Saccharomyces cerevisiae S288C: one gene and its partner. The gene in region 1 interacts genetically with each later gene. Each region holds a gene or a part of one and is shown on either strand. Other genes may lie near its edges.

Region 1 (5,335 bases):
CTCCGCGCTGACATTTCTCAAAATGGGAGCTTCCATGACATCTACTGGCAACTTATCTTGCGATGCTTTAGTATCTGAGTTTTCAGACGTGTCTAGGGATAGTGAGCTACCGGAACTTACCTTGTGTTCATTAATGTAATTTTCAATATCATCTACCAACTTTTCTGCTTCTGAACGCTGCCGCCTATGTTGATTGTGGGTGGATGAGATTGCAATACTATCCCGCTCAGAATCATTATTACTCTCTATTTCTTCCTTAGTAGTATTGTTGCTTATTGACGTTGTTATTGACTTCATGTCCATAGGCGGTGGTGGAGGCCTCGAACGTTTTATCTTGGAGAAATGTGCATTTGAATTTGCGCTTGTTGTGAAGGGGTTGGTTCTCTGCCCAATGATGTTGTTTTCTTGTAAATATTCAATTCCTTTGTGATCGTTTCCTGACGCTTCCTTGGACTGTGTTAATTCAAGAGAATCTCCTAAGGTATCCTCAGCATTCAAAAATGGATTAGTATTCTTTAATGTTTCCTTTTGTAATGGTGCCTGGATAGAATGGCTCCTGCTATGAGCATTCCTATTTGGACTTCTTGGCGGTATATCAGGGGCAGAAGTTTCAGCCGTCGAAGTTCGTGCGATATTTGTTGATTTCTTTATTGTAGAGGGCACCGATGGCTTTCTAACGGATTTTTCAGAGTCATTGTTTTTACTTTCAGAACCAAACCGAAAAAAAGACCTTCGTTTACCTTTATTGTTGCTAAAGCCATCAAACATCACTGTATTATTAGACTTTACCTGTAGACTCCTTCAAAACCTGTAATTCGCTTTGCAGAACATGCTATTTCAACATTTTCCCTCTTAAACTTTTGCCAAATAATAATAGTGCGCTCTTTGAATCCGCGATGACATTTGAAAGAAAACATTAAATTAAACTATCGCTTTGCATACGGAGCAAATGCCATGAAAGAGAAAAAATAACCAAAAGGTTTTTTAAATATATCTATACACCTCCACTGTTATATGCGACTCAATGTTCTAATATATTCAATATCAGCTCTAATGCTTTGACTATATATTCACCGACTCCACCAATACTAATAACGCGGATGGTACTTGGGTGAGGCGCCTGAGCAAAAATAGTGTAATTTGTTGTATTTAAAGATTCAAGCCACATTTGTGACTCGTGAAGATTATTCAGATTCAATACGACGATATTACAATTTGTCTTTGATCGTAGATCATTTAGATTTTGATAAACAATATCAATATAATTTTGTCTTGGACACCTAACGTATGTCTTTAGAATCTGATACGAAGACTTCTTTTTCACTGCATCCATAGAAGCTTTTATGGTACCAATGCAATGTTGTTTGATTTCATCCTGCGTCATAAAACCCGGTTTATTACCTTCACTATACCTTCCGTCCTCAAAAGTTTTTGGCCCGGAATGACGATTGGAAGAATTCAATACATTTGATGGCTTATTAACAGCGTGTCTCTGTGGTTGTGTTTGATATGAAGTTGCACCTGCTTCAATAGTTTGAGAAGAGGAAATTGAATTTGAAGAGGGCGAATTCGATAAAGGTCTTTGTTGTCGTGGAAATTGATCTCCTTGAAGGCCACTTATTTCGTTATATGCCTTCATTTCAGAAATATGTTTAATCATTTGAGCTTTTGATGTTTCTATAATTGGCCTGGTTTTACTAATGTACGACTTTATATCAAACAAGCCATCGCCAATTAATGGAAGTTCGTAGAGGGCAAGTGATATCTGTGAATAAGTGCGGTTATATTCACGCTTAAAGTAGTTTATCACGTTAGCTTCACACTTGCCAAATTCTACTTGTGAAAAAAAATTAGAAAGCTCATTCATGAACTTACTTACATGACAAGCCTTAACTTGAAACTGTTGAAAATCTGGAACAACATTGAAACCAACTTCTACAATACTGGATGAGGGCTGCTCTCTTCTATAGCTTGTTATTATATGGCCTCTACCAGTTTCTATATTCTTGGGCAAATAAAACGAACCTGTCAAGTTAATATTCTTAGGAACTCTAAAGTATGATTTTTCGGATGGTGCCATCCATAATCGCTTCTGGAAAGCAAGCAGAACTGATAATACGAAGCAAGAGTCCAATATATTGAAGTCCTTCAAAACTATGTAGAAAAGCATGCCTTCATCTTTCTGCTCTTTCTGTGGATAACATCGTAATATATCCTTCGATATATACTTATGCAATTCATCCATGCACTCGTCGAACTGTTGTTTATCTTCCGTTCTCATGGGGAGTATGAGCAGACTACCTTTTATGAATTGCCCTGCATTCTTCTTAGTCGACCTTATCCTATCTAGGTTTTTCCATATATCAAAAGATTGGAATGCTTCAGAATTACCGACCTTCCTTCTTTGGCCATCATTGGATGTCGTAGGATAATGTCCTTGTGAAAGTTGTCCCTTCGGCTTGGTATGATGATACGCTAATCCTCTCCTTCTTGGGCGCATGATACTAATATTTTTTGCTTATATTAGTCGAAGGGAAACTGTTTCTCAACGTCAAACTTCTACTATAGTATATAATATAACTTTAATGTTTTCTACACTGCGATGCGCGCTGAAAATTCTAGCTCAAATAAAAAAAAGGTTACAACAAACCAGTAGCAATCATGAGAATAAGAAATATGAAGAAGTAATTAAAGATCATGTTGGAGTAAAAATCCAAAATATCATCTGTTTATTAGCATTCGTGTTAGTAGTATATTATCAAATGCGGTGTAAGAAGATGACATAAAGATTGAAAGACAGTCATCAAATGGAAGAGGAAATGCAACAACTCATGATGTAATAGGATAATGTCACATAAAAAATGGAAGATGAGATTATAATATTATTACGTAAGAATACCGATCCTCTTTTGCGGGTTCTTATATCTCGGGGAGAGCTTCTAGTACATTATTCATTCATAATATTATACCTTTACCAAGGATTGAATCCCAACAATCATCAAATTATTCACCCCTTTCTCAGGTCACTGGTTTGAAGCAAGTAAACTACATCTTCTTATACCGTATGCGATAATATACTAATAATATAAATACTACTAAATAGATGATGCTAGAATTCCATTAGAACTATAGTATACCATTTAAGTATTTATATTGCTATTGTAATATCTTATGAAAAGTTAATGTTCATCTGTCCCAACAATCTCTAACAAGTACAAAGATGACACGAGTTATGAGGCGCTGTCATAGGAACCTCCAAACAAGTTTGATATTAATTATAAGAAACATATTTCAAGCCCTCGTGTTGTATTACGGGCTCGAGTAATACCGGAGTGTTTTGACAATCCTAATATAAACAGTCTTAGGGAAGTAACCAGTTGTCAAAACAGTTTATCAGATTAATTCACGGAATGTTACTTATCTTATATATTATATAAAATATGAATCATACTAAGTGGTGGAAGCGCGGAATCTCGGATCTAAACTAATTGTTCAGGCATTTATACTTTTGGGTAGTTCAGCTAGGGAAGGACGGGTTTTGTCTCATGTTGTTCGTTTTGTTATAAGGTTGTTTCATATGTGTTTTATGAACGTTTAGGATGACGTATTGTCATACTGACGTATCTCATTTTGAGATACAACACCTCGCAAGAAATCGACTCTCGGTAGCCAAGTTGGTTTAAGGCGCAAGACTGTAATTTATCACTACGAAATCTTGAGATCGGGCGTTCGACTCGCCCCCGGGAGATTTTTTTATGTCAAGCACCTACTTTTAGCCGGCTTTCTGGAGATAAGTTCCCAGTAGTCGTTGTATTTGATTCTCTATTGGATAGTCAATGACACATTCGTGACCGAACAATGAGATATTATTGAGTACCGGGAGTATTATGTGTCATAATTTGTAGTATTATCTGTGTGACGGATTAAGTTTGCTATCTCAAATGCCGCGCGCGCGAATTGCTCATGATATAATAATAGCTAATAATATGATAATATGATAATAATAGATAAGATTACTGATAACATTATTTTAGTATTCAAAAGCGTATTACATATATATAGTCGAGTAAATACTTTTTTTTCAATGGGGAGTGGAAGGGACAGCCGCTCTGACCTGTTATTAACGACAGACAACACGGTACCAAAGTTATACAATGACTGTGCACTCAACGTGGAAGGAAAAAGTTCAATTAAAAAAAGATCAACTGAACAGTAAGATAAAAGACGAATGGAAATTAAACAGCACAACTATAACGAGGTTGAAGAACGATAAAAAAAATTTAATCAAGAATATCGATGATTTATGCTCATCTTCAGAAAATCAGATCACCCACTCCACGATTATGGCCTTGAGACAGGCACTGGAAGCAAAAGAGTTAAGCTGCCATGAAATAACAGCTGCATTTTGTCATAGGGCTGCTTTAATTCATCAAGTAGTGAATTGTCTATCCGAAATCATGTTTTCAGAGGCATTGAGATTGGCTGACTATTACGACAGCAATAGACCAGCCATATTGCCACCCTTGTACGGTATACCGATATCTCTCAAAGACCAATGTAACGTTGAGGGTGTAGACACCTCACTGGGTTATTTATGTCGAACTTTCAAACCAAAAACCAAGAATGAAGAATCATTGATTGTCAGTTTTCTGAGAGATTTAGGAGCTATTATATTTGTAAAAACCACCGTACCTTCATCGATGATGGCTACAGATACACAATCTAACACCTTTGGGTACACATATAATAGTATTAATTTAAGCTTCTCCAGTGGTGGATCTTCTGGTGGAGAGGGTTCGTTAATTGGTGCTCATGGTTCCTTGCTGGGACTAGGAACTGATATAGGCGGAAGCATCAGAATTCCTAGTAGTTACCAAGGATTATTTGGTTTGAAACCAACTTTTGGACGCGTCCCTTACTTGAGGGTGGATAATTCATTTGAGGGAAGGGAAACAATTCCCAGTGTAATTGGGCCGTTGGCAAGAGATCTTTCGGATTTGAGATACTTCATGAGTTGCGTTATCAACATCTGTCAACCATGGGTACAAGACGTCAAGTGTATTCCATACCATTTTGATTCCTCTACAAGTAAATTACACGATAATTATGTTGTTGGAATATGGTATGGTGACGGCGTTATTGATCCTCCGCCCAGTGACATCAGGGCTTTAAAGACGTGCGAAGACCTAGTTAATAAAACTAAAGGAATGAAGGCAGTTAAATGGGAGCCTTCCAGTGAACTGAGCAGGGAATTGTTTGATCTCGCAAATGAAGCAGATGTTGCTGACTCAGGTAACGAGATAAAAAACGAATTCGAAATTTCCGGAGAACCACT
Region 2 (4,040 bases), on another chromosome or scaffold:
AATTGAAGAAAGATCTGCAATTAATCGTAGTAAATAATAAATCATTCACCGGTACTTCCAAATCATTCAAATTGAAATTACTAAATGTCAAACATTCGTTTTACAAGCCTTGGAAAGAAGCCAGTGCAACAGCGGTTAAGGATTTCAAAGTTTTATTAATTTTGAAGGATTCTGATATTAAGAAAGTTTCAGAAGATGATTTATTTGATCAATTAGATTCAGAAGGAATCAAGGTTGATGAAATCATTTGCGGGAAAGACTTAAAGACCGTTTACAAGGCATATGAGGCTAGAAACGCTTTTATATCTCAGTTTTCTTTGATTTTGGCTGACGACAGTATAGTTACATCTTTGCCAAAACTTATGGGAGGCAAAGCCTACAACAAAGTAGAAACTACTCCTATATCAATTAGAACACATGCAAATAAGGAATTTTCCTTGACCACTTTGACGAACAATATCAAAAAGGTTTACATGAATCAGTTGCCCGTTAAACTTCCAAGAGGTACCACGTTGAATGTCCATTTGGGTAATTTAGAATGGTTAAGGCCAGAAGAGTTTGTAGATAACGTTGAATTAATTTCTGAACAGTTAATCAAAGCATACCAAATCAGATCCATTTTTATCAAGACCAATAGGTCGCCCGTATTGCCATTATACTATAACCAGGACGTTCTTGATGAACTTGAAGCTAAAAAGGACAAAATCGAAGAAACCCACGAAGATGACATGGTCACCATTGATGGTGTACAAGTTCATTTGTCTACCTTCAACAAGGGTTTGATGGAAATCGCCAATCCTTCCGAATTGGGTTCAATTTTCTCTAAACAAATTAACAATGCAAAAAAGAGATCTTCTAGCGAGCTTGAAAAAGAATCTAGCGAGTCAGAAGCTGTCAAGAAGGCTAAAAGTTAATTTGTTTCCTCCTTATCTATCTTTTCTCTCATTTTTTTCTTGTGAAGAAAAAAATTTGAATTTCATAGAGTGCGGTGCATATGTATATATCTATATATGTTTGAAGTGTATATTAAAAATAAAGTCATTATTTGAATATTGGTTTCTCGGTCTAAGAGCTTATACGTTTTAGACTGATCTGTTGTACTATCCGCTTCAAATAAATAGATCATTGAAAGTGACGGGGATAACAGCATTTTACCTTTAAAAGACGTTCTCATAATACATTTTAGGATTAATACATATGCTTTTTTTTTATTCGAAATCTGGGGATTCTATACAGAGTTGTAAGTTAGGCAAACTAGAATTTGGTAATAATATTTTATTCTTGGGGCGACATATGGAGATACTTTATTTCCTTTTCTTAATTATTAACGTATACCTATAAATTAACAAAGTATCTAAACAAAATACATAAGTGTACTCAAACTGAGTAGAATCGTCGATTAAACTTCCTTCTCCTTTTAAAAATTAAAAACAGCAAATAGTTAGATGAATATATTAAAGACTATTCGTTTCATTTCCCAGAGCAGCATGACTTCTTGGTTTCTTCAGACTTGTTACCGCAGGGGCATTTGTCGTCGCTGTTACACCCCGTTGGGCAGCTACATGATTTTTGGCATTGTTCATTATTTTTGCAGCTACCACATTGGCATTGGCACTCATGACCTTCATTTTGGAAGTTAATTAATTCGCTGAACATTTTATGTGATGATTGATTGATTGATTGTACAGTTTGTTTTTCTTAATATCTATTTCGATGACTTCTATATGATATTGCACTAACAAGAAGATATTATAATGCAATTGATACAAGACAAGGAGTTATTTGCTTCTCTTTTATATGATTCTGACAATCCATATTGCGTTGGTAGTCTTTTTTGCTGGAACGGTTCAGCGGAAAAGACGCATCGCTCTTTTTGCTTCTAGAAGAAATGCCAGCAAAAGAATCTCTTGACAGTGACTGACAGCAAAAATGTCTTTTTCTAACTAGTAACAAGGCTAAGATATCAGCCTGAAATAAAGGGTGGTGAAGTAATAATTAAATCATCCGTATAAACCTATACACATATATGAGGAAAAATAATACAAAAGTGTTTTAAATACAGATACATACATGAACATATGCACGTATAGCGCCCAAATGTCGGTAATGGGATCGGCTTACTAATTATAAAATGCATCATAGAAATCGTTGAAGTTTGCCGTAGTAATACCCAGATTATCAGATTCCAAATCCTTGTCAATAATTATACTCCTTTGGACAACTTCTCTTTCCATTAAAAAATCTGAAATCTCCTTAAATTTTAAATAGATTCTGTTCAGTTCACTAACGGGGAATTTCAAGAGAACATTTTTGTTCTTCGCCGACTGACTATAATCTGTAACATTATTGTTATCAGAGTTTCTCGCAAAATTTTGTTTTTTCTTGCTAAATCTCAGCATATATTTAATCAGATTCAAAACCTTGTTGAAACCTTTAATAGATTTGAAACTTCCGTTGCTATTCATTTCATCTCGTAAAAAGGATACGATAATTTCTATTTTTTTTAAAATTTCCAAAATCTTGTCATGAATCAATAGCAATTGAACATTAATCTCCTCATTTGAAAGATTTTTGTAAAATTCGTCATATAATATTACTTCACAACGTTGGAAAATAGCAAATGTGATTGCTATAAAATTCTGTAAGATTTCAATAAAATGATTTGCGAATAAAAATTCTTTACCATTAGAATGAAAGCGATTATTGCCGCTTGAAAATGACTTTATCGACTTTATGGGGAAGATAAAATTAAATGTTATTGAGTAAAAAATGTGCATATTAGAAATAATTTTCATCAGATCCTTTGCACATCTTTCAGAGTTCGAGGTCTTATTGTTGTTAGAAGAATGTTGAACTGCCATGGACAAAGAGGATTCGTTTTGAACAAAAAGGAAAAAATTTGTATAAACAATGGTATTGATAAAATTTAAAGTGTCTTTCCATTCTTTTCTGACTTCGTTGTCATGAAAATATAAGTCTACTGTATTACTCACGCCCATAGTCAAGGTTTCTAACAGACTTTCAATTTTGGTTAAATTTACTGGCAAGTAGAAAGGAACACCTTGCAGAATATTTATCAATTTTGCTTGCGTTTCCAGTAATTTTAAATCGTTAGCAATTAAAGGAATGTCGTTCGTATCAATAGAGGCAGGTATCGGAGATAGGTTTTCAGCAGCGGGTACCATGAATAGCTTTTTTTTTTTTTTTTATTCGAAATCTGGGGATTCTATACAGAGTTGTAAGTTAGGCAAACTAGAATTTGGTAATAATATTTTATTCTTGGGGCGACATATGGAGATACTTTATTTCCTTTTCTTAATTATTAACGTATACCTATAAATTAACAAAGTATCTAAACAAAATACATAAGTGTACTCAAACTGAGTAGAATCGTCGATTAAACTTCCTTCTCCTTTTAAAAATTAAAAACAGCAAATAGTTAGATGAATATATTAAAGACTATTCGTTTCATTTCCCAGAGCAGCATGACTTCTTGGTTTCTTCAGACTTGTTACCGCAGGGGCATTTGTCGTCGCTGTTACACCCCGTTGGGCAGCTACATGATTTTTGGCATTGTTCATTATTTTTGCAGCTACCACATTGGCATTGGCACTCATGACCTTCATTTTGGAAGTTAATTAATTCGCTGAACATTTTATGTGATGATTGATTGATTGATTGTACAGTTTGTTTTTCTTAATATCTATTTCGATGACTTCTATATGATATTGCACTAACAAGAAGATATTATAATGCAATTGATACAAGACAAGGAGTTATTTGCTTCTCTTTTATATGATTCTGACAATCCATATTGCGTTGGTAGTCTTTTTTGCTGGAACGGTTCAGCGGAAAAGACGCATCGCTCTTTTTGCTTCTAGAAGAAATGCCAGCAAAAGAATCTCTTGACAGTGACTGACAGCAAAAATGTCTTTTTCTAACTAGTAACAAGGCTAAGATATCAGCCTGAAATAAAGGGTGGTGAAGTAATAATTAAATCATCCGTATAAACCTATACACATATATGAGGAAAAATAATA

Evidence for each region.
Region 2: mutations in SNU56 (region 1) and CUP1-1 are lethal when combined (synthetic lethality), as found in Saccharomyces cerevisiae (one study listed by BioGRID).

The regions. Positions count from the first base shown.
Region 1 is NC_001136.10:942,653-947,987, forward strand, and holds SNU56 (Snu56p), read right to left. Parts: upstream 2,501-5,335; coding exon 1,022-2,500; downstream 1-1,021. Other genes in the region: YDR239C (uncharacterized protein), read right to left, coding at 1-768; AMD2 (putative amidase), read left to right, coding at 4,155-5,335. UniProt on the Saccharomyces cerevisiae protein: Component of the U1 snRNP particle, which recognizes and binds the 5'-splice site of pre-mRNA. Together with other non-snRNP factors, U1 snRNP forms the spliceosomal commitment complex, that targets pre-mRNA to the splicing pathway.
Region 2 is NC_001140.6:211,065-215,104, forward strand, and holds CUP1-1 (metallothionein CUP1-1), read right to left. Parts: upstream 1,657-4,040; coding exon 1,471-1,656; downstream 1-1,470. Other genes in the region: CIC1 (Cic1p), read left to right, coding at 1-914; YHR052C-B (uncharacterized protein), read right to left, coding at 1,455-1,628; YHR054C (uncharacterized protein), read right to left, coding at 2,121-3,185; YHR054C-B (uncharacterized protein), read right to left, coding at 3,453-3,626; metallothionein CUP1-2, read right to left, coding at 3,469-3,654. UniProt on the Saccharomyces cerevisiae protein: Protects the cell against copper toxicity by tightly chelating copper ions. May also act as a depository for copper designated for the effective transfer into the apo forms of copper proteins.